Neurospora crassa OR74A: one gene and its partners. The protein of the gene in region 1 interacts with the protein of each later gene in a pairwise test. Links are inferred from orthologs where the notes say so. Each region holds a gene or a part of one and is shown in the gene's direction. Other genes may lie near its edges. The genes, in order: NCU07011, NCU03051, NCU00301 and NCU06272.

Region 1 (5,998 bases):
GTGATGGGGATGGCGCCAGGGACTGCGATGCTCGACGACGGTGTGCCTGCCATGTCTTCGGCTTCTTCTACAGGCACGTCCAAGCCGCCGGTTGCTGCTTCTGATGTCGCGACAGGAGTGTCTGGGTCTTGGTCCGGATGAGTGGAAGAGGAAGCTTCGGAGGCGGAGGACGGCACGCTGTCGGCGGACACTGGCGTACGATCGAGGGAGGTGGGTTCGAGGTGTGCTTCCATGGCTCCTGCGGGAAGCTGCAGGTGTGCAGCCTATGGATTTATATATCGTCGGCGATAGCAGTGGCAGTGGTGATGATCGGCTAGACTATTGTGATGCCGCCCAATGGACTCGATGTTGGGCGTCGCTTGGATTGGGAGAAAACGGGGAACTGCACTTCTTATTTGGTGGATGTCTAGACTAGACTGGACAGCTCCTCAAAGCAAATAAAGGATAAAAGAAAAAGGAAAGAAGATAGAGGTTAGAGCGATTGGGCCCCAATGGCTTTCAAGGTCCCAACTGAACTAAGCAATTGATAACCGCAAGTGTTTCGACGACGGGAGATGGGGATGTCAATCTGTCTTTGATCCTTTTCTTCTTCCCTTTTCCCCCTCCCTCTAGCTCCAGATGGATGTTTCAGTTGTCATCCAAGCACAGCTCATAAGAACAACATGTAATCATCAAGAAAGCCATTGGTACACAACTGGACAAAGGTGGATAGCTTTGTGGCGACACGAGCAGAGACAACAGCTAGGTAGGTAGCCCAAGTTGGGATGATGCCCAAGCGTTGTTTGCGCGGGGAGGGAGAAAGGAAAAAAAAAAAAAAAAAAAAAAAAAAAAAAAAAAAAAAAAAAAGAAAGAAAGCAAGAGGGAAAGGCGGCATGTGGGCAATTTCCATAAACGGACCCGGTAGTACCTACTAGTCCCAATTCTGAACGTCTACGTGTAAGTGCATCTGGATCCCACCATTAGTTCATTCCCTTACACCGGAGTTTTGGTAGCTCATGGCAGAAAGGCTGGCACTTTCTCGGGTACTACATGGCCATCAACCGAATGAATGGTCGTTAGAATACACTTTTCATGCTACCTTTGGAAACTAGACTAACTCTCAGGCAATTTTGCATGGAGAAATTCCCAGGTAACTCTGGCTGATGTCTTTTCGACTTTTTTTTTTACCATCCCTCTCGAAATTCTGTGATGGCCTTTCCTGACTAAAGCGAGCCGTGTTGGACTGTCTAATTCGGTTATATTTACAGCCACTTCGTCGTCATAACTGGAGGTCCAGTCTCTTTCGTCATTGGCGTGCTTGGATAGACACAGGAAAAAAAAAACCTCTCTAGTGATCGACAATGATGGACACCAAAGAGCCCATTGCGCGTTGACTACTGGTACCAGAAGGTGGGTGTCATGCCAAACTAAACCCTTGCTGGCGCCCTATGATATACTGCGATAGCCGCAGAGAAAATCCAGAAGAACGCTGAAGGTGGGTGTCATTGCGAACCGTATGCCGTGGTACCTCTATGGGTGGACGACCTGAGGTGGGTTCGATGGACGGGATGATGACGCCGCAGGCAACCTAGCATTTCGACGCTGAAGCGGACAGGGGATGGTGATGCTGTGCTGTGCTGTGCTGTGCTGTGTTTCACAAGCAAGAGCTTTTTCGCCCAGTTGGCGGGGCAGATGGAGGTGTGGGGTTTACTGCAGTTTGGAACACAGTCTCGACTTCTGCGATGATGGGAAACGGTAATCCCGGTAACTGAAAGGCTGCAAAATGCGGCCGGGATCGCAGGAGGTTCCTACTATGCAGTACACAGATACACAGTGCTGGATTTAAGCTCTGTGGGTCCTAGCCAGACGGTGGTCCCACATGCGTCCAGCTTTCATGCTACCCCACATGGCGAGGCAGACCAATCACATGAAGCTCCCACTTGCCTGCCCCAACCGACCCCAAACTGTGGCTGAAAATTTCTGGTCCACCGCGACAAGGCTACTATTATCGAAATCTTCAAACTGCGACTTTCAACAAGGCTTTGCAACTGAAAGGCATTCGCAGACATCGTGGTAGTTGGCAGCATATGCCACTCGACGACATGATGCCGCATTCCGATCGCGAAATCACATCCGCCAAGCGGCAGAAGCTCAATGCCTCTGTCGTCAAGTCCAAGGCGCCTCAGAAGAAGAAGAAGGGTTCCTCCATCTTTGCTCCCTTCAGAGTACGTCCCTAATAGCCGGTCGCATGAAGTCCTCAAACTAACACCAAACTCACCACTCATAGACTGTAGGCTTGGTATCTCCAACAAGCGTCCCCTTTACCTCCATCCCTCTCGGCAAGACCACCTTCCAGATCACTACCTCGGTCGGCCGCTCCCTCCAGACCTATGACCTAAAGAGAGGTCTCAATCTCGTCTTCGTTACCCGCCCCCAGACTCCCGCCGACATTACCGCCACATATGCTTGGAAGGAAAAGGTATTCGCCGCTTGGGGTAACCCTCAAAATGGCGAGGCCCAAGGTATCTGGGTTTATCAGCGCGGAAAGAAGGTAGCCGAGCTTGAGCTGCCCGCCGACCTCAACCAGCCCATCAAGCAGATCCTCATCTTCGGTTCCTGGATTGTTGCATGCGCCCAAACCCGCCTCGAAGTATGGAAGTCGGCCACCCTCGAACACTACACGACCATCTTTTCCGTTGCCGCAAAGAAGGGCGACAACGAGCTCACTGGTGGCGTAGTCAACATGCCTACCTTCCTCAACAAGATCTTGGTCGGTCGCAAGGACGGTTGGGTAGAGATCTGGAACGTCAGCACCGGCAAGCTCATCTACACCATCCTTCCGCCCTCTCCCGACGCTGGATCTGTCACCTGTATGGAGCCTACCCCGGCACTTTCGCTTCTCGCCATCGCCTACTCGAACGGCCCTCTCGTCATCCACAACGTCCTTACCGACAAGGCCTCCCTCAAGTTGATGGCCGGATCCGAACACGCCCCCGTTACAAGCATCTCCTTCCGAACCGACGGTCAGGGTGCTGGTCAAGATGGTACAAAAGATGGCGTCATGGCTACCGCCACAAGCATTGGTGGAGATGTCACATTCTGGGATCTCAACAAGGGCGGCAGAGTGATGGGTGTACTCCGGAGCGCCCATAATCCCCCATCACACACCGACAAGACTGTGCGCGGAGGCATCAGCAAGGTTGAGTTCCTCCCAGGACAGCCCGTTATCATGACCAGTGGTTTGGACAACTCGCTCAAGTCCTGGATCTTCGACGAATCGCCCTTCTCGCCCGTCCCCCGTATCCTTCACATGCGCAGCGGCCATGCCGCCCCCGTCAACTGCCTGCAATTCTTGCCAACCGATTTCGATGGCGCCGAGGCCGGCAACAAGTGGCTTCTCAGTGGTGGCAAGGACAGGAGTCTGTGGGGCTGGAGTTTGCGCCGCGATGGCCAGAGCTCTGAGCTCAGTCAGGGTGCTCTTCGCAAAAAGGCCAAGAAGGTGGGTATTCTTGCTAATACCGCCCTCGGCGGCCACGGCCCGACTACATCTTTGGACGACCTCAAGGCTCCCGAAATCACATGCATCGCCTCCTCGCTCAACCGCGATGGCGGCATGGGCGCTATGCCCGGTAGGCAGGTCATCTGGGACAAGGGCAATGACAAGAGCAAGCCGACCAAGTCCGAGCTCGCTGCTATGACCGGCTGGGAAAGCGTAGTAACAGCTCATAAGAACGACCCCTGGGCTCGCACCTGGTTCTGGGGCCGCAAGCGTGCTGGTAGGTGGGCGTTCAAGACCGGAGATGGCGAAAATGTTTCTACCGTGGCTATCAGCCCTTGCGGCAGTTTCGCTCTTGTTGGCTCCGTTGGTGGTAGCTTAGACATGTTCAACCTCCAATCCGGCCGTCACAAGCAACGCTTCCCCTCCCGACTCACTCCCGCCCAGATGCGCCAGTTGAAGATGCAGCAACTTAAGGCTCTCGACAAGGTGAGCCAGCTCGAGAAGCGCGCCTCCTCCAAGACCTCCTTTGCCCCCGGCTCGGGCAAGCACACCAAGTCCGTAACCGGCATCGTGGTCGACCCGCTAAACCGCTTCGTGATTTCCTGCTCTCTCGACGGCACCGTCAAGTTCTGGGACTTTGTCACGGGCAACCTAGTCGACGAGATTGACTGGGCGCCCATGGTGCAGATCACGGGCTGTCGCTACCACGCCGGCAACGATCTCATCGCTTTCGCGTGCGACGACAATTCGATCCGCGTTGTCGACATCGAGACCAAGCAGACCATCAGAGAGTTCTGGGGCTGCCGCGACACCATTAACGACTTCACCTTCTCCAACGACGGCCGGTGGATCGTGGCCGCCTCGCAGGACCGCGTCGTCCGCGTCTGGGACCTGCCGACGGCTCACCTCATCGACGCCTTCCGGCTCGAGAAACCCTGCACCGCCATCGCCTTTTCCAACACGGGCGAATACCTCGCCGGCGCCACCGAGGGCGAGCTGGGCGTGCACATCTGGACCAACAGAACGCTGTTCAGACACGTGCCGACCAGACAAATATCCGAGAAAGACATTGCCGAAATCTCGGCCGGACCTACCAGCTCAGGCGAGGGCGGTCAAGGTCTCATCGAGGCGGCCTTTGAGGATGAACAGGAGGACGAAGAAGATGAGGGCGTGTCTGCGCCGGTCCTCGATCAGCTCAGCGCCGACATGGTGACGCTCAGTCTGGTGCCCAAAAGCAGGTGGCAGACGCTGCTGCACATTGACCTGATCAAGCAGCGCAACAAGCCCAAGGAGCCGCCCAAGGCGCCTGAGAAGGCGCCCTTCTTTTTGCCTTCGCTCCGGGATGGGACGACGAACCCACTGCTGTTGACGGAGGGCGAAAAGAAGGATGAGGAGGAGAGCCGAATTTCGAAATTGACGCAACTCGAGACGACAAGGACGTATCAGACGTTTACGGCAAAGTTGTTGGAGGGTGCCGAGACGGGTGATTGTAAGGTTTTTTTTTTTTTTTTTTTTTTTTTTTTTTTTTTTTTTTTTTTTTTTTTTTTTTTCCCTTTCTTTTATTACTTCCCTTTTTTCATCCGGTTTATTTTACTAACCATCACCGTTTGATAGACACCCCCTTCATCACCCACCTCAAATCCCTCTCCCCCTCCACCGCCGATCTCGAACTCCGCTCCCTTTCCATCGGCGGCCTTGATCCGGAGTCTTCTGAAGATAGCAACGAACTCCTCCACTTCATCCGCGCCATGACGCAACGCCTCGCCCAACGCCGCGACTACGAGCTCACGCAAGCGTGGATGACGGTCTTTTTGCGACTGCACTTTGACGTGATTATGGAGAGCGAGACGCTGCTGAAGGAGTTGGGCAAGTGGAAGGAGCAGCAGGAAAGGGAAAAGAAGCGGTTGGATGATTTGGTGGGCTACTGTGGTGGTGTGGTTGGGTTCTTGAGGAGTCCTAGGACATAACCATAGACATGGGTCCAGCTTAGTCTAGATGAGGGATGGGAAAGGAGGGAAGGAAAAGGGAAGGGAAAGGGAAAGGGGAAGGGAAAGGGAAGGCTTGCATGATGGCTACCTATGAGCGAGTGAGTAGCTGTAAAAGTCGGTTGGGATTGTGGAACATATGATATGAGCGAATCCGATCTATTTTTGATAGTATTTACATTATGGGTCTTTTTTTTTTTTTTTTTTTCTTTTAAACAACTAGCCCATGTTTATCTCTTATTTGCTAGGATGGATGGATGGATGGCTGGATGAATGGGAAAAATTGGGATAGATAAAAAGTGTTATCGACGTATACCTAACCAATACCAGTACATCTATCTCTCTTGTCATGTCACGTCAACTGAATCTACTATGGTACTTCCTAACTTCCTCGTCTGAATTTGTAAAACGGTTCGGTTCCCTATGAAAGGTATGGTACCTAGATAAACGCATTGCGCGATTAGAATTGTTATGTATATATTGTTGTTGTTGTTATTCATTATAAAGCTGAGTGAGTGGTTAGGTCTGTCTGTCT
Region 2 (5,925 bases), on another chromosome or scaffold:
ATCGACTTATTAAACTCGTAACTAAATATTAAACTTCTAATATAATTATCGTTTAGCCCGGTTATACTATCGAATAACTTATCTAATATTTAATATTCCAATCTAACTATCGAACTCCTAATCTAAATATTAGGACTTTAATTAAATAATAAGATACCCAATCAAATTATCAAACTTCCGGCTAAATTATCCATTTCTTAAGTAAATATTCAACTATACCGCAAGCTACGTACAAATAGGAAATTAACGAACTTTGAATTTTTAGTATATTAAATCTATAAATTAATTATTTTTTTTTATAGTAGCTTTAATATTCTATATATTAAGCTCCCTCCTATTTAGAATATAATTAACTATACTAACTCCTAATATATTTAATTCGCTTAAGGATTTTAAAGTATACTAAATATAAACCGGGGCAACCTACTAAATAGACGGAAAGAACTCTAATTTAATACTAAATCAATAATAACTATACTTTTTCTATATAATAGAATACAAATAAACTTCTTCTCCTAATAATTATAAGCAATACTAACGTAATAGAAATATAAATTATAAGCTACTTAATTAATAATAAATAAGTAAAAGTAATAATAATAAAGGAAGTTTAAGAGGAAATAGAAATTTTAAAGGAAATTTAGGAAGAAATAGAAATTTAGGAGGAAATTTCCTATAATAAAAGTAAATAGAAGTTCTAAATCGCTTCCACTACCCACTACCTAACACCTATTCCATTCCGTCTACCCTACTATTACTAAAGCCCTTAGCGCTACTACCCTCCAACTATATAAATATTTAAAATAATTACGTAATATAATAATTAACTATAAAATATCCCTACTTAACTCCGAATAGAGACCTAAATAGAAGCTAGAGTCGTTAGTAGTTTTTTTATTATAATACTAAGGGGTATTATAAATAGAACCGACGAATACTATTTTAACTTTCTTTATTTAAAAGTAAAATTAATAGTAGCGTACTCCGTATATACAATCTAATTAATATATAAATTTCCACTTCCGTAGGGGACCTTAATATATATACTATAAGAAATATAGGTAGCGACCCCCAACTCCCACTATATATCTACAATATACTAACGTTATTATAAATAATTACTATTATAATATATAGATTTAAATTATTACACACCTTATCGTAGGGTTTCTATAAATTAAAGCGTAATATATTAGTAATACTAGTACTAATAACTACCAATAATCTAAGATCCTAATACAAATTCGGGGTACTATATAAAGGGGCTTAAAAAAAAGCAGGTGTAAAATAAATACCCGGGCTACGTATTTCTTTATACTACTAAACGCTAGCTACTAGGAATAGAAAATAGGAATAAATATTTAATATTTTTACAATAATAGTAAATAAGGGAATTGCCCTAAACTACTTTAAGGGTAAGGCACAAAGTATACTACCTAAAAATACCTATAGCAACGGAATTAAGATAGTAAATAAATACTAACAGCAACCCCAAAGTAGTAAATTATAAATAAATATTAAATAAATATTACAATAATTTCAAATAATATAATAATACTCATATAATATTTAATTATACCATTCAACTTCCAATCGTATATCAATTAATAATTATTATATTACATATACAATAGTAAAAGTTTAATAAAATAAATTAATATATATATAGTAGGATATTTATAAAAGAAAAAAGAATAAATTTAAAATATAAATTGAACCTTCAAAAATAATTCTTATACGAGTTTATTTTGTATTGTAAATAGATAGTTTAACTAATTATTACTTCGGAGATAAAATAAAATATTAAAGATGAAGTACCTTCGATAATTGAACATTCTATTATATAGAAGTTTCTATTATATACGCGAACCACTTTTTAACGAAAATTCCTATTGTACGCACTACTTTTTATTCTATATAAAATACTATTACTATTTAAGTATACCGTTCTAGCGGGTCAGCTATCCAAACGCAAATAGACCAACTACCGAAACGCATTAATTACAATCCACAATTGTTCAACCAAACATACAATTATCGAAAAGGGGCTTATACAAGCGGATTCGTTCTATAACGCTTTTGCACTGTCAACACCACTGCCTGCACCCTGTTCTGGCCCTGTTGTCAGACCCCCTATTCCCAGCAGGGGGTCAGGTCCTCGCTTCAGGCTGGCTGACGTTGCTGGCTCCAGGCTGAAGTACTTTGGCTCCACTCTGGCGCCGGAAGACACGCCGCCAAGCCTGGAAACTGCCCCGCAGAACCCGTCCAGGCCGTGATACGATGCGGCGGCGGGACCGGGCCACTTTCAGACAGGGGCCGGGCCAGCCACAGCGGACAGTGGCCGTCTGGGCAGGCAGTGGCTGGTGGAAATGGACGCGGCAAAAGTTCTTATCTTATCACTTGCCGGACTGGCAACGCCAAAAAAAAGTTCAGGGACGGCAACCCACTGCGCAGCGGCGACACGATTGTGCTAGTGGACATTGAATCGCGAGAGACCTTGCGCATGTTATTTTGGATTGGCATCTTGTACTAGTGGCTGTCCAATTATCGCAAATATGGTCAAATCATACCTGTAAGCCTTGCGATTCTGTCCTACTTTTCTCTCGCCTGATGGCATCTCTAATACACCTGGGAACAACAGCAAATTCGAGCCCTCCAAGTCCTTCGGTGTCGTCGCAACCAGCTCCTCGAATCTCGTCTGGACCTCCTCCAAAGACAAATCTGGCACCGGTGCGGGCCAGGCTATCGTCGCCGCCAACAATGAGGTTCTAACTTGGGATATCAAGAAGGGCGAGCTTCTCAACCGCTGGAAGGACGAGAACTGCAAGGCCCAGGTCACTGCCATCGCCCAGAGCAAGACCGATCCCGACGTATTCGCTGTCGGCTACGAAGACGGCAGCATCAGGCTGTGGGATAGCAAGATCTCCACCACCATTGTCAGCTTCAATGGACACAAGTCGGCAATCACGATACTGGCCTTCGACAAGTCGGGAGTGCGCCTGGCCAGTGGCGCAAAGGATACCGATGTGATCGTTTGGGATTTGGTCGCCGAAGTCGGCCAGTACAAGCTACGAGGACACAAGGATCAGATCACAGGACTGCGATTCATCGAGCCCGAGCCGCAAATACCCGAAGGCGGCGACGACGAAGAGCAGGCTATGGTGCTGGACAACGAAGCGACAGAAGGTTTCCTCTTGACGACCGGCAAGGATGCGCTCATCAAGCTTTGGGATCTTTCATCACGGCATTGTATCGAGACCCATGTGGCACAGAACAGCGGCGAGTGCTGGGCGCTTGGTGTTTCTCCCGACCTTAGTGGATGCGTCACAGCTGGCAACGACGGCGAGATGAGGGTATGGGCTTTGGATGTAGCAGGACTCGCTTCGTCAGCACGCAAGGTCGATCTCTCGCAAGCAATCAACTTCCTCCACGATCGCGGCACACTACACCGTTCGAGCAAAGAAAGGGCCGTCGAGGTCATCTTCCACCCCCGTCGCGACTATTTTGCAGTACATGGCGTCGAGAAGTCTGTCGAGATTTGGAGGATACGAAACGAAGCCGAAATCAAGAAGAGCTTGGCGAGGAAGCGGAGAAGAAGAAGAGAGCTGGCTGCGAAGAAGGGCAAGAAGGAAGCAGACGCGGAAGAGGAAGACGACAAGGCCGATGATATTTCAAAAGCAGACATCTCCGACGTCTTCGTGCAGCATGTTATCGTGCGGACAACAGGCAAGGTTCGGTCGGTCGCTTGGGCCCTCAGTCAAGGAACCAAGGATCTCCAGCTCCTTGTTGGAGGCACAAACAACCTGCTCGAGACATATACCATTGTTGGAAAGGATAAGCTCAAGTCCAAGGGTGATGCGCCAGACTACAACAAGGCGCTTGCGGTGGAGCTTCCCGGACACCGAACAGACATTCGTGCCCTCTCCATCAGCTCAGACGACAAGATGTTGGCTTCGGCAGCAAACGGCTCCCTCAAGATCTGGAACATCAAGACCAACACATGCATCCGGACATTCGAGTGTGGCTACGCGCTCTGCTGTTCCTTCTTGCCTGGCGACAAGGTGGTCGTGGTCGGAACCAAGGAGGGCGAGCTTCAGCTTTACGATGTTGCTTCGGCATCTCTGTTAGAGAGCGTCAACGCTCACGAGGGCCATGCCATCTGGTCACTACAGGTTCACCCAGACGGCAAGTCCGTTGTTTCTGGCGGTGCTGACAAGACAGCCAAGTTCTGGGACTTCAAGATCGTTCAGGAACAGGTTCTAGGCACGTCAAGGACAACCCCCAAGCTCAAGCTTGTCCAGTCCAAGATTCTCAAGGTATCAGACGATATCCTGAGTCTCAGGTTCTCCCCCGACGCGAAGTTGCTTGCTGTTGCCCTTCTCGACAGCACTGTCAAGGTCTTCTTCGTCGACTCTTTAAAGCTTTACCTCAACCTTTACGGTCACAAGCTGCCCGTTCTCAGCATGGACATCTCCTACGACAACAAGCTCATTGTCACAAGTTCCGCCGACAAGAACATCAGAATCTGGGGTCTCGATTTCGGTGACTGCCACAAGGCTCTCTTCGGTCACCAGGACTCCATCCTCCAAGTTGCTTTTGTTCCTCACAACTCGGACGGCAACGGCCACCATTTCTTCAGTGCCAGCAAGGACCGCACCATCAAGTACTGGGATGCCGACAAGTTCGAGCAGATTCAGAGGATCGACGGCCACCACGGCGAGATCTGGGCCATTGCCGTTGCTCACAGCGGCCAATTCCTCATCAGCGCTAGTCATGACAAGAGTATCCGCGTATGGGAGGAGACGGACGAGCAGATCTTCCTCGAAGAAGAGCGCGAGAAAGAGATTGAGGAGCTGTACGAGAGTACGCTCACCACCTCGCTCGAGCAAGACCCCGACGCCGAGGACGAGAACCGCGAAGTCGGCGCTGCGTCCAAGCAGACGGTTGAGACGCTCATGGCGGGTGAGCGCATTGCCGAGGCGCTCGAACTCGGCATGGCCGACCTCAACGCTATCAAGGAGTGGGAGGAGGCCAAGCAGCAGAACCCCAACGTGGCGCCGCCGCAGCGCAACGTGCTTTTCATGGCGCTCGGCAACATCAGCGCCGAGCAGCATGTCATGAACGTGCTGCAGAAGATCAAGGCGTCGGCGCTGCATGATGCTCTGCTCGTTTTGCCATTCGCCACCGTCCCCATGCTCTTCACCTTCCTCAACATCTTTGCCATGCGCTCCATGAACATCCCGCTTACTTGTAGAATTCTGTTCTTCATGCTCAAGACCCACCACAAGCAGATCGTGGCGAGCAAGACGATGCGCGCCATGTTGGATGGCATTCGCACCAACTTGCGTGGTGCACTCAAGCGCCAGAAGGATGAGATGGGGTACAATGTTGCGGCGCTCAAGGTCGTAGGCATGCAGTTGCAGCATAAGAGCGTGAAGGATTATGTTGATGAGAAGTGGGAAGAGGAGAACGAGGAGAACAAGGCAGTTAAAAAGCGTGCTTTCGTGCAGGTTTCTTGAGCGTCGGATGGTTGGGGTTGGCGAAGGAAACAAACGCCAGCATGATACATGGGAGTGACCTACAGGTGGAGGAAGGGTAGTGTAGGTGGAAAGAGTAGAAGGGATCTGGAAGAGAACAAATCCGTTCCGCACATAACACAACATACATATGATGTCTGACGTAGAGGAGAAAGGGGTGAACGGTGTTGATACCGTTTCTCTTTCGTAAGGTAAAATAGGGCAACGTTTCTCTTTTTTTTGGAGTTGGGGTCTAGTTAAAACGGCATTGCATAGTATTCGTTACCCTTATCTCCAAATTGCTCTGTCTTGAATCTCCCCCATCAAATTCTCCATCTTAACTTCCGGAAGGGAAACGCGTGATGTCTTGATCAGTTCGTCTTCGTGGTGCCGCAATCTATCGTCCACC
Region 3 (6,126 bases), on another chromosome or scaffold:
GAAGATTCATACAGTCTGCAACAGGGGCATACCATGGGTTTAGCAGGTAGTCATCTTTCTGTCTCCGCACTCACCAAGTGGTGCTCCAAACATCTTGACGTCGGAATATACACTTATTGCTGGACAACACAAGCAGGGTATAAAGTCGTTGTCACCCAACTAAGCATGGATTGCTCATTCTTGGTGTCAAAACGCATCCGGATCGCGGTGAAGACGTAGTGCTTTGACTTCAAGGTGAGTGTCTCACAAAGGAGACGGGGGACTTGTCCAGGTTGTCTTGAGGCTGATATCGGTCTATTACAACAACAAAGTTATTACAGTATTTTTATGTTCATAGATATCATATACACATCCATACAAAAGAACAGATCCAACCATCGCATCACTTCTTCTTGGGATGCGTAAAAGGATGCCCCTTTTCCCTCGCCCACTTCACAATCGTTGAGTTCATCCCCCTCAACACGAAGAAGTAGATGATCGGTATGAGCCACCCCATCAACGTGTCCAGCACCCAGTTGTTCCTCGGCGACCCGCCCATGATCCCGCACTGCATCAGCCTTCCCAGGAATGACACATCGACAAAATACTTGCCAGCCTCCAGCCCGGCAATCGCCCTCCTTGCTACCGTATCCGGGCTTTCCGCTGGCTCGTCCTTTTCCAGCTCCACCGTGATGTCCGGCTTCGTCTGATTTTCCCTCTCGTAGCCCGGTGATACAATCGTGCCGGGATACACAATGTGCACCTTGACCGGGTTATCTGGGTAGTAATTGACCTCCATCGCCAGGGTATCCGCCAGTCCTCTCAGCGCCCATTTGGTTGGGGTGTACGGGCCATAGCCCAAAATCGCAAAAAGCGCCAACATTGACGCGGTAAATACCAAGTGCTTCGGCTCTCCGTTGGGTCCCGTGCTGTTTTCGGGTGCCAGCCACTCCCTCAAAATCGCCCGCGACATCTCCGCCGACCCAAAGTAGTTGACGTCCATGTTGCGGCGTGCGGCCGCCATGCTGCCATCGTCGGTCCACAGCAGAGGCGTCGACATGCCGGCCACGCACCAGACGATGTCCGGGGAGCGCCCGCCATTCCAGGCGATAGCTTCGGCGAGGACCGCGGCGGCGTAGTCGTGCTCGGAAACGTCGGCTGAGATGTAAGTGAAGCGTTGTGTGGACGGGTTCTTGGCGGCGGCGCGGACGTCGACGAGGGCTTCTTCAAGGCGCCCGACGTTGCGCGAGACGAGGATGACATTGGCGCCCTTTTGCGAAAGTTGGATGGCCGCTGAGCGGCCCATGCCTTCGGAGGCGCCGGTTAGGAGGACGGTCTGGTAACAGGGGTTGAGTTAGTGTTGTTTGGAGGTCGGGTCAGGTCGGGTGAGGCTTCGGGGCGCATACCCGGCCCTCGACTGGCATGTGGTTTTTGGAGCTGAAGAGACCCATTGTAGCAAATATGCCAATGGCCGCGACGACGGCTGCAACTGGGAGAGACCAGGAGGTGCTGAGGGTTTTCAATTGTTCCATCAGCGACTCTGAGAAGAGATAATGGTTCATCCTTCCTTGGATCGTGAAAGAAGATCGGGCTCGAGGAAAGTGGAATTGTTGACGCGGCGGCGCCTAAGCTATTCTGTATACGTCTAGAGTACGAACGAGTACCTCTACGGCGTAAATTTAGTGGATGCTGTCAGCAGTTCCCGTCGTACTGGAGCTTACACCCCTGTCTGTAAGTGACTTGTTGATGGGTGATGATTCGACCGATTTCTTCGCACTCCGTAGGAAAATGAGGTTTCTGGAACCATTTGCTGGAGTTTGCGTTTTCGAGTCTTCAGAAGCGGTTTTCTCTACTGTCATAACTGAACCCATTGAGGTCATGTCAACGTAAATCTGGCAGGCCTGGGGGGCATCTTGGAGCTTCCCGTCGACCCTGAGGACGGGATGGAAGCTTTGACCATTTCAGATGTAACTGTGGAGCATCTTCAATTGTGGGGTTAGGCAGCCTGCATGAGAGTGGAGCTGGGCGGTCGAGGTTCCGCTGAGAATGGATCGCAAATTGACAAGAGCAAAAAAATTCTGCCGCTTCAACATTTGTTGCCCGCCTAGCGAACGAACCCACCAGCCCATTCAACGAGCATCTCCAAGTGCCTTTTGGCAGCGTCTTCACGTCAACGTTTCTCAGTCGCGCCAAACTCCATCCAACACGCCTGAATAGATAACCGCGACACAAACGCAAAAATGGCGAAGAAGAGAAAAGCCCCGAGACCGACCGGTCCCGCCGAGCCTCGCGAGGTCGATGCCAAGGACGCCCGCCTTACCGTTAAGACTTACAAAGATGTCGCCAACTCCGAAGACGAATACTGGGAGAACCAGGATCGCATCGACTTTGACGACAGCGATGATGGCAGACAATCCAAGCGCAGGCGCCAAGACAAGGAGGAGGAGTTCCTAGAGGCTTCTGACGAGGAGGTTTTCGAGGAGGACGAATCCGATGAGGAGAGCGAACACGAAGACGCCGCGCCCGCGAAGGGCAAGAAGGTCAAGACAACAGTACTTTCCGACGAAGAGATGGGTGGTGAAGAGGAGGAAGAAGGTGACGAAGGATGGTGGGGTTCCTCCAGAAAGGACTACTACAATGCCGACCAGATCGAGACCGAGGCCGATGCCTTGGAGGAAGAGGCTGAGGCAAAGAGGCTCCAGGCCAAGAAGTTGGCCAAAATGTCCGAGGCCGATTTCGCGTTTGACGAGAGCGAATGGCTAGGAACCAAGGAGGAGGCCGAGGGAGAGGAGGATGTCATTACCGAGAAACTCAACGAGATCGAAGTCACAGAGGACATGGGGCCGGAAGAAAGATACAAGCTTCTACAGAGCCGATATCCCGAGTTTGACTACCTGGCGCAGGAGTTTAGGGAGCTGCAGCCGATTCTCACAACTCTTCAAAAAGAGGCCGAGGGCAAGCCTGCCAAGTCTCTGGAGATGGTCAAGTTCTGGACTCTTGGGTGTTACATCGCTTCACTCGCCAGTTATTTCGCTATCCTGACTTCGCCAGCAAGAGACAGCCAAGGTGTGTCCAAGACGATCAGCCCTACGGAACTCAGGGACCACGAGGTTATGGGCACGTTAATGAGCTGTCGCGAGGCCTGGCTTAAGGTCAAGGAACTCAAGCCGCTCAAGAGCGTCTCCTCGACCAGCGGCATGCTTTCGCCACCCGAAGATGAGGGCGAGTATGATGACCTGTCTGACGACGATATGGAGGACTTCAAGAAGATGCTCAAGAAGAGCAAGCGCGAATCCAAGGCTGAGCTCAAGGCCAAGGCGAAGAAGGAGGCCGAGAAGGCCAAGAAGGCCAGGGCTGTCGAGCAGTCTCTTGCCGATCTCTCCAGTTTGCTTGAAACCACCAAGACGGCAACCAAGGCCAGCAAGAAGTCTGTCAAGGTCGACAAGCGCGATGACGATGAGCGCTCCGACTTTGGTGACGAGGAGATCCTTGAAGCTCACGTGGCCAAGGAGAAGGCTGCTCGCAAGAAGAGTCTCAAATTCTACACCTCCCAGATTGTGTCCAAGTCCGCCAAGCGTGCGGATGCGGGTCGCAACGCCGGTGGTGATGACGATCTTCCCTACCGTGAGAGATTTGTAAGTCGGCCATTGCCTAAAAAACATGCCGTGTTGTCATATACTGACTTTTGCGCAGAGAGACAGGCAAGCACGGCTCAACGCCGAGGCCGAGAAGCGCGGCAAGAAAGACAGCAAGCACGGCGCCGTGCTGGGCGAGGGCGACAGCGACGACGAGGACAAGGCCGTTGCCAAGCAGGTGCGCGGAGAGGAGGACGAGTACTACGACATGGTGGCGCACAACGCGGCCAAGAAGAAGGAGGACAAGGCGGCCAAGTACGAGGCTTTGGCGGCTGCCAAGGGCGCCCGGGTCGTGGAGGAGACGACGATCGGCCCCGACGGCAAGCGCCAAATCAACTACCAGATCCAGAAGAACAAGGGCCTCACGCCGCATCGCAAGAAGGAGAACCGCAACCCGCGTGTCAAGAAGAGGATGAAGTACGCGGAGAAGCAGAAGAAGCTCAAGAGCGTCAAGGCCGTGTACAAGGGCGGCGAGGGCAAGGGCGGGTACCAGGGAGAACTGTCGGGTATCAAGACCGGCTTGGTCAAGAGTATCAAGCTTTCTTGATAGGGCTCTGGTTGTCGTGGTTGTTGGACTGGTTTGTAGTACTCTGGGTATATCATGCATGTATAGATTTTTGGGTTGTTGATAATCATGGCCTCAACGGAAATGGAAAAAAGCAGGCTTGCACACACAATGGCATTGTATTTCTTGAACACACTTGATACCTCTTCAAGATCTACAATATCTACAATGTCCAGTATTCTCAACACCGGAGGTCGCCGGTACTCGCACCCTGTTCAATCGTGTTAGTACAGGTTCATGGTAAACCCCGGGTCTGAGAATAGGGCTATATAAGAATCCCTCTCATTTTTTTTCTTTTTCTTTTCCATCCCAATTTTTAGTTCCTCTTCGTTTCTGTGCCCTTCCCTGGCATTTCTTGTGTGCCAGATTCCGAAAGAGCGAAGGCGATGTTGACTTGGAAAGGATACAAGGCCTGCGAGGGAGCCAATAGGAGCTCTGAGACGAATCAATGCAAATGCCCAAATCTCAACTTTGGATAAATGTAACACCACCACATGATAAATTATTAGATTGGGCAGTTTCTGAACAAACACAACATCCTAAACCGAACACTTCAATTTCGTTATCTTCAGTACAGGTATCTTCAACACGGATCGTTCAAGAAGTAGAGGTAATTTTTGGGATGAAACACTGGAATGTTAGAGCAATGATTAGGACATGCCACATTATTTTTTTCCAGTCCACCATGACTTCTTAAACCCACCAGGCAAAAGGAAGAGTTCCAAACCAACAGTCTGTTTTCGGTCTATCCAGAAACCCAGGTTTCCCTCGAAGGGTTCTCATGCTGTTGTTGGATGTTGTTGTACTAGGGTTTCACCTAGCGGTTGACGTACCCCACAAGATCCACCTACAGCCCGGGACGCTTGAGCCGCCTGAGACGTGCATGCTTTTAAGGGCTCTTTTGCCGCCGCCGAGGATGCATTACACGTATCTTGCAGCCAGGCGGGTCAACCTTGGGTCTTGGGGGAACCGGTTTGCGGATGAAGAGGCAAAGGATTTAAAACTAGTCATGCGACCATCAGACTTTTCACCATGTATGACTCGAATCGGATTGTAATCAGGTCGACTCTTTCCTTTGTTCAGCCTTTTTTGTTGACTTTGCATTTTGCATCGTTATCTTGAGCCTCACTTCAGTGTGTACTCTGTAACTCTTTGACCGACCGCTCATGAATCCTCAGGGCGGCTCTCAATTGAAGTGACGTATCTCCTGTCTACCAAACCCACAAAACAAGGACACAACAACAAAGAGCGAGGTGAACTGGGCATCCAAGTTCCAACGAATCTTGGGGGCAAACAACTCAATCGATAAGGCGGGAGAGTAAAGCGCATCAACAAAAACGCTTTCATTCAACCATCGCATCCTTCCTCACGCTTAAACCCACAAGTATTCTCAACCTGTACCTATCAAGAGACGGTTGCACAAAACAGTGAGACAGCATTACACGCGGTCCTACGGACAACAGCAGCCACCATGGCGCCCCCGACCGAACTCCTCAACCTCGACGTCGAGGCCATATCGGGGATCCTCGGGTAGGTCTCATTCCACTCCCAATTAACTTCACCTTCTCCATCTTACTAAACCCTCTCAACAGCTCCGTATCAATAGCATGCTGGGTCGTCGTCTTCTCCCCGCAAATCATCGAAAACTTCCGCCGCTCATCCGCCGACGGGCTCTCCATCCAATTCATCATCATCTGGCTAACGGGCGATGTCTTCAACATCTTGGGGGCCGTATTGCAAGGGGTCCTGCCGACCATGCTCATCTTGGCCATTTATTACACCATTGCCGACGTGGTGCTTTTGGCGCAATGTTTCTATTACCGGGGATTTACCTGGCGGGATGAAGTGGTCCCCACCATTGCCATTGACTCCGACGACAGTGAAGCTGCTTCAGAGCGTGATATGGGGAGTAGACGCGGAAAGAACAAGGGTAAGGGGAGGGTTGAT
Region 4 (6,157 bases), on another chromosome or scaffold:
TGGCTCCCCCGTTGACAATGCTGAATCCGTCTGTTTTGTTTCTGTCGTGCCACTCCCTGGCCAAAACCCAAACAGATAACTCCCATAGCTATAAGTCGGCTTTTCTTGGGGTGCAGTCTGTAACGTAGGCTCCTGAGCGTCCGGGGCCTTTGGCGGATCTCCGTCTGATGGCATATTGTTTGAGGATTCCTCGGTTAATTTGGGGGGTTCGGGTACTTCAGGTTCGCCCCCGTTGGGCCTGGGTTCGCTAAGCTTTGGCAGAACCGGGACGGAGGCAGTCAACACTGGATAATAATAGTACGCAGATTGGCCTAGCCACCCTAGCCAGCTGGAGGAAGCTGTTTCTCCCGACTGTGGTTCGGTGGTAGTAGACTGTGAATCCGCAGGCTGGTGTATACCATTAGTGTCTGATGTCGGTTGTTGTTGTTGTTGTTGTTGTTGGGTGTCTGGTGATGGGCGATCCTCGGCTTCATTGCTGCCAGTGGTACTAACAGCAACCTGGTCGGTCTTGGCAACGTTATCGTCCACTGCCGGCCCCGGCTTTGGTACCTCACCGCCTGTGGATCCCCTATCATCAAGGTTCTCGGATGGTAACATGTTTGGAAGAGACGAAGATGAAGCTGCACCATCGAGACTGACACTATCCGTGCTTCTTTCTGTGTCAAAACGGCTAAAGTCTGCTCGCTTTTTTGATCTGAGTGTTCCGCCCATGATTGTTTCACGGGCGACTTGTGTCGAGGGTGTCGATTTGCGTGGCCATGAGCCATACCAACTCCGAGATTTCTGGGGCTGCGAGTCTGTTAGCATCGGGTGTAACAGGCATTAAACAGGCTGGATATGGTGGCTGAAGAGAAATAGGCTACCTCTTTCAGCCCTCGCTTGCTCGAAATAGGAGTTGTATTTGCGGTCGCATTGGGCTGGGATGTTGATAGAGCATTATCAGGTGTCGAGGTCGTCGTCGACGAAGGTGGGTTCGAAGCGGTCGGCATTGGAACGGCTTTTGAACGCCATATAGAGGCTGCTAGGCTCGAGGACGATTTCGGCGGCATATCGGATGTGGACGTTGAGGACTCGGTGACAGCACTACCATCCGCCGGCTCGGTTGGAGGGTTTGGTTTCGCCTTTTTTCGACGACCCATGGTGAAGACCATGGCGAGCAAGGCCAACAACCTAACAGATTCCAGTCCCCTAAGATTATAGGGCAAACTTTGGCCACATTGCCGTTTATTTCGTCAAGTTGAAAGGATCGAAAATGGGCATGCGACGAGTATTGCGTGGCGCCTATACCGTAGGGACAAGTCGACAAGCCGACGAGGCACCGCTCAGGCTACAAATCCGATGTGTACTTCTACTTACACTACACGGGTACCGCCGGCGGGGAGGGAGCGCTTTCATCCATTATCAAAGGCTCCAGCTCGGATGCATGTACGTCATTTGCCAGGTAGCGCACAGTCCAGGGGAACCGGATAGGTAACGAAGTACCTACACTTTATTACCTGGAGAGGGGGACCATGTGAACGAATGCTGATGTTATTACAAGTACCTACTTGATGGTCTAGTGTAGTATCAAATTCATTCTTCCATCAGACTAGAATGATATTCCAATACCGTACGATCCTAACATCAGACGACATGTTAAGTGTAGGTAGGTACCTCTAGACAATTGTACATCCCGCCTTGGAGAATTATATGTACCTCGCAATGGCCAATAGGTAACTCATTGATAGCACGTTCTCAGCAATCCCCTCTATCTCTAGGGTGTAGGTACCTAACGGCCTTCAGTACCCTACCTCTACTTACCGTGTACTTCCCTGCAACGCATGCGGCTGGCCCGTTGGCTGCCCGTCTCCGCCCGTGCAAAAGGTTCGGTACGTACCTGGCCATGAACGTGACAGCGTCCTGTCAGCTGACGCCGTGGCACTCGTGGACACAAGACAGGCGCTGCTAGTACCCCTACAGGGGAACCCCGCAAGACTCAGAACCCGCAACGAACCGACATGCACGCGGCCCGCGTACCTAGAGATGGCAGAATCGTAGCCGATGCTCACCGCATTCCTTATCGTTATCTGGCCACGGTGAACGGCGACGGACCCACCAAAAATTTTCGGCAGCGGACAGTGGAAGCGGCCTGGGTCAGTTTTTGTCAGTGCTTGTCGATTCATTCTGAAGTGTGAAGGCGGGCAAAGGGACGAGGGATCCAGTGCGGGTATCTCTCCAATTGCAACTCCAAACACATCCGTCCATCCATCAGGTCCTTTCTTTATACCCATCAGTTCACAATGGGTGCGCAAAAGCGCAAGGAAGGCCCGGGCGGCGCCCCAGTCAACAAATCAACACAATCAGCCTCCGAATCGAGACCGTCAAAGAGACCAAAGTCCAACGATGCCGGCAGCAAGGCGGGCGCAAAGACGGGCAAGCAGGGCAACAAGCCGGCTCCCAAGTCCGACAAGCCTGCTCCTCCTGCTCCTACCGCCCCGGCTACATCTACGCTGCTCAAGGAAGAGGAGCCAATGTTCCCCAGAGGCGGCGCCAGCATCCTGACACCTCTCGAATACAAGCAAATCCAAGTCCAGGCCAAGAACGACGCCCTGTTCGAGGAGCAATCCAGCAAGGCCACCGCCAAGAAGGCTGGTGAGAAGGAGGGCAAGCAGAAGAAGTCCAAGAAGAGGTCAAAGTCCGACGACACACCCGCGAAGCCCGATGCGGACGCCGTCAAGGTTGAAAGTCTCAACTTCAAGGTATGCGCCGGAACACTCATGGGTTCAGTCCTATCATCCAAGTACTAACTGTCCGCAGCGTCTGGTAAAGGGCTCCTTGGTCCTTGGTTCCGTCTGCGCCATCAACTCTCTCGACATCGCCGTTGCTCTACCCAACAATATTATCGGCCATGTCCCCATCACTGCGATTTCCGCCCCCCTAACAAAACGCTTGGAGGCCAGCGCCGGTAACGACAATGCCGAAGAGTCAGAAGACGAGAACGACAACGACGTTGACCTCGAATCCCTCTTCCAGATCGGCCAGTATGTCCGCGCCTACGTTGTATCGACGGTCGACGAGGCTTCTACACACACCCCTGGAAAGGCCAAGCGCCATATCGAACTCTCCCTTCAACCTTCTCTCGCCAACACCGGTATGGCGGAGCAAGACGTTGTTGTGAACAGCACAGTTATGGCCGCCATTGCCAGTGTGGAGGACCACGGTTATGTTATGGACATCGAGATCGCCGATTCGAAGTTGCAAGGTTTCCTTGCTCGCAAGCAGGTCGACAAGAGCATCCCCCAGGAGGCTCTGCAGCCAGGTGCCGTCCTCCTCTGTATCGTCACCAAGAACGCCAAGGGCAAGGTCGTTCAGTTGTCCACATTGGGTGAAACCATGGGCAACGTCGAGAACGTCCCTTCGACTGCTACCACCATCGACACATTCCTCCCCGGTACTGCCGCCGACGTGCTCGTGTCCGAGGTTTCCAGCCACGGAATTGTTGGCAAGATTATGGGATCGCTGGATGTCACCGCTGATCTGGTTCACTCTGGCGCTGGTCCGGATGGCATCGATCTTGAAGACACATACAAGGTCGGCTCTCGTCTGAAGGCCAGAGTCATCTGCAACTTCCCTACTGCAAAGCACCCCAAGCTGGGTATCTCTGTACTAAAACACGTTACCTCGTTGAAGCCAAAGACTGCTTCCAAGGACGACCAACCAGTGGTGCCATTGCAGGCTCTCCCTCACTCGACGATCGTGGAGAAGTGCACCGTTAAGCAGGTCGAGCCTGAGATCGGTCTTTACGTCGATGTTGGTGTCGAGGGCGTGTCTGGGTTTGTGCACATCTCCCGCGTCAAGGATGGCAAGGTTGATGCCCTCTTCGAGAACAGCGGACCCTATAAGGTGGGATCTGTTCACGCTGGTAGGGTTGTCGGCTACAACGCCTTTGATGGCATGTATCTCATTTCCTTGGAGAAGAGTGTTCTTGAGCAGCCATTCCTTCGCATCGAGGACATTCCTGTCGGTGCAGTTGTTTCTGGTGTGGTTGAAAAGATGGTGGTCAACGCCGCCGGTGTTGGTGGCCTTATTGTCAAGATTGCTGACGGTATCTCTGGCTTGGTCCCCGAGATGCACTTCGCTGACGTTCACCTTCAGAACCCCGAGAAGAAGTTCAGGGAAGGCCTGAAGGTGAAGGCGCGTGTGCTCTCGACTGACGCTGCCTCTCGCCAGATCCGCCTTACTCTCAAGAAGACGCTCGTCAATTCCGATCTTCCTGCCATCCAATCGTATGAGCAAATTGCTGTTGGCCAACAGGCGCTCGGTACCATCATCAACGTCTTGCAGCACGGTGCGATTGTGCAGTTCTACGGCAGGCTCCGTGGTTTCTTGCCAGTTTCTGAGATGAGCGAGGCCTACATTCAGGATCCCAAGGAGCACTTCCGCGTTGGCCAGACTGTCAGCATCTACGTCATCAGCTTCGACCCCGATGCCGCCAAGCTTATTGTTTCTTGCAAGGACCCATCTGCCTTTGGTCTTGAGAAGCAGTTGGCCCTCAAGAAGCTTCAGATCGGTGATGTGGTGTCGGCTAAGGTCACGCAGAAAACTGACGACGATGTTTTTGTTGAGCTTGCCGATAGCTCTCTCAAGGCCATCCTCCCCGTCGCTCACTTGACGGACAAGTCGGTCAGCAAGACTCAGTCTGCCCTCAAGAAAATTCACGTCAACCAGACTCTTGCCGAGTTGGTGATCTTGGAAAAGAACGAGGCTCGCCGTTCCATCATTCTCTCCCAGAAGCCCAGCCTTGTCAAGGCTAGCAAGGAAGGCAAGTTCCTTACTACCCTTGATGGTGCTCGCGTCGGAGATGAGGTTTCTGGTTATATTCGCAACATCACTGCTACGGCTGTCTTCGTCCAGTTCGGTGGCAAGTTGACCGCCTTGCTTCCCAAGTCTATGATTCCTCGCGAGGATCAGGACAAACCCGACTTTGGCATGTTCAAGTCTCAGTCTGTTACTGTCAAGATCACTTCGGTTAACACCGAGCTTAATCGCCTGGTTGTTGCTATCCCCGGTGCTGCGGAGCAGGTTAAGAAGGTCGAGACCAAGGGCGAGAAGGTCGCTAACCCCGTGGATGAATCCATTACCACTTTGGATGATATTTCCATTGGCAAGCTGACCAAGGCTCGCATTGTGTCCGTTAAGGACACCCAGCTCAACGTTCAGCTCGCTGATAACATTCAGGGTCGTATTGATGTTTCTCAGGTGTACGACAGCTGGGAGCAGATCAAGGATACCAAGAAGCCGTTGAAGAGATTCCAGCCCAATCAGGTCGTCCCTGTCCGCGTGCTGGGCGTCCATGACGCTCGCAACCACCGCTTCCTGCCCATTTCCCACCGATCCAGCCACTCCGTCCTCGAACTGTCCGCGAAGCCCAGCGATGTCAAGGAGGGCGCCTCTTCCGAGCCGCTGTCTTTCGACAACCTCAAGGTTGGTTCTAGCTACGTGGGCTTCGTCAACAATGTTGGCCAAGGCCACCTTTGGGTCAACCTTTCCCCCACTGTTCGCGGCAGAGTTAATGCGATGGAGGCCTCTGACGATGTCTCTTTATTGACCAACCTTGCGAAGAACTTCCCTATTGGCTCGGCCCTCCGCGTCCGCGTCGTCTCTGTGGATGCCGAATCCAAGCGCCTCGATCTCTCTGCCAGATCTCCTGGTTCCGAGGACGAGTTGACTTGGGACAAGATCGCACAGGATGTCATCCTTGTCGGCAAGATTACCAAGGTTGACGAACGCCAGGTCATTGTCAAGCTTAGCGAGAGCCTGGCTGGACCCGTTCATAAGGTTGATCTTGTCGATGACTACGAAGAGGCCAACCCTGCCAAGTTCGCTAAGAACGAGATCGTCCGTGTTGCTGTCGTTGAAGTTGACAAGAGCAACAAGAGGATACGTCTGTCTACCAGACCTTCTCGCATCCTCAACTCTTCGCTTCCGGTCAAGGATAAGGAGATCACTCAGAACACCAAGCTCGAAGTTGGCGAAATTGTCCGTGGTTTCGTCAAGAACGTCTCTGACAAGGGTCTCTTCGTCACTCTCGGTGGCACTGTCACCGCCTTCGTCCAGATCAAGAATCTTTCCGATGCTTATCTCAAGTACTGGAAGGAGCAGTTTCAGGTTGATCAGC

What was found.
Region 2: the proteins of NCU07011 (region 1) and NCU03051 interact in binary tests that used the Saccharomyces cerevisiae proteins (3 or more experiments, as listed by UniProt). The link is inferred for Neurospora crassa OR74A from reciprocal best matches to the Saccharomyces cerevisiae genes UTP21 and DIP2.
Region 3: the proteins of NCU07011 (region 1) and NCU00301 interact in binary tests that used the Saccharomyces cerevisiae proteins (3 or more experiments, as listed by UniProt). The link is inferred for Neurospora crassa OR74A from reciprocal best matches to the Saccharomyces cerevisiae genes UTP21 and SAS10.
Region 4: the proteins of NCU07011 (region 1) and NCU06272 interact in binary tests that used the Saccharomyces cerevisiae proteins (3 or more experiments, as listed by UniProt). The link is inferred for Neurospora crassa OR74A from reciprocal best matches to the Saccharomyces cerevisiae genes UTP21 and RRP5.

Annotation. Positions count from the first base shown.
Region 1 is NC_026504.1:4,897,809-4,903,806, forward strand, and holds NCU07011 (WD repeat containing protein 36), read left to right. Parts: upstream 1-2,002; 5' UTR 2,003-2,066; coding exon 2,067-2,204; intron 2,205-2,266; coding exon 2,267-4,967; intron 4,968-5,092; coding exon 5,093-5,445; 3' UTR 5,446-5,803; downstream 5,804-5,998. Other genes in the region: NCU07010 (cortical actin cytoskeleton protein asp1), read right to left, coding at 1-233. UniProt on the Saccharomyces cerevisiae protein: Involved in nucleolar processing of pre-18S ribosomal RNA and ribosome assembly.
Region 2 is NC_026501.1:8,275,416-8,281,340, reverse strand, and holds NCU03051 (WD domain-containing protein), read left to right. Parts: upstream 1-2,441; 5' UTR 2,442-2,555; coding exon 2,556-2,572; intron 2,573-2,641; coding exon 2,642-5,519; 3' UTR 5,520-5,865; downstream 5,866-5,925. UniProt on the Saccharomyces cerevisiae protein: Involved in nucleolar processing of pre-18S ribosomal RNA.
Region 3 is NC_026503.1:3,361,400-3,367,525, reverse strand, and holds NCU00301 (Sas10/Utp3 family protein), read left to right. Parts: upstream 1-2,070; 5' UTR 2,071-2,219; coding exon 2,220-3,614; intron 3,615-3,672; coding exon 3,673-4,161; 3' UTR 4,162-4,365; downstream 4,366-6,126. Other genes in the region: NCU00302 (3-ketodihydrosphingosine reductase tsc-10), read right to left, coding at 383-1,315, 1,386-1,541; gpr-5 (PQ loop repeat protein), read left to right, coding at 5,651-5,709, 5,772-6,126. UniProt on the Saccharomyces cerevisiae protein: Primarily required at the G2/M phase. Essential for viability: involved in nucleolar processing of pre-18S ribosomal RNA as part of the ribosomal small subunit (SSU) processome.
Region 4 is NC_026503.1:2,144,690-2,150,846, forward strand, and holds the start of NCU06272 (mito ribosomal protein S16), read left to right. Parts: upstream 1-2,117; 5' UTR 2,118-2,279; coding exon 2,280-2,738; intron 2,739-2,796; coding exon 2,797-6,157. Other genes in the region: NCU06271 (hypothetical protein), read right to left, coding at 1-789, 864-1,151.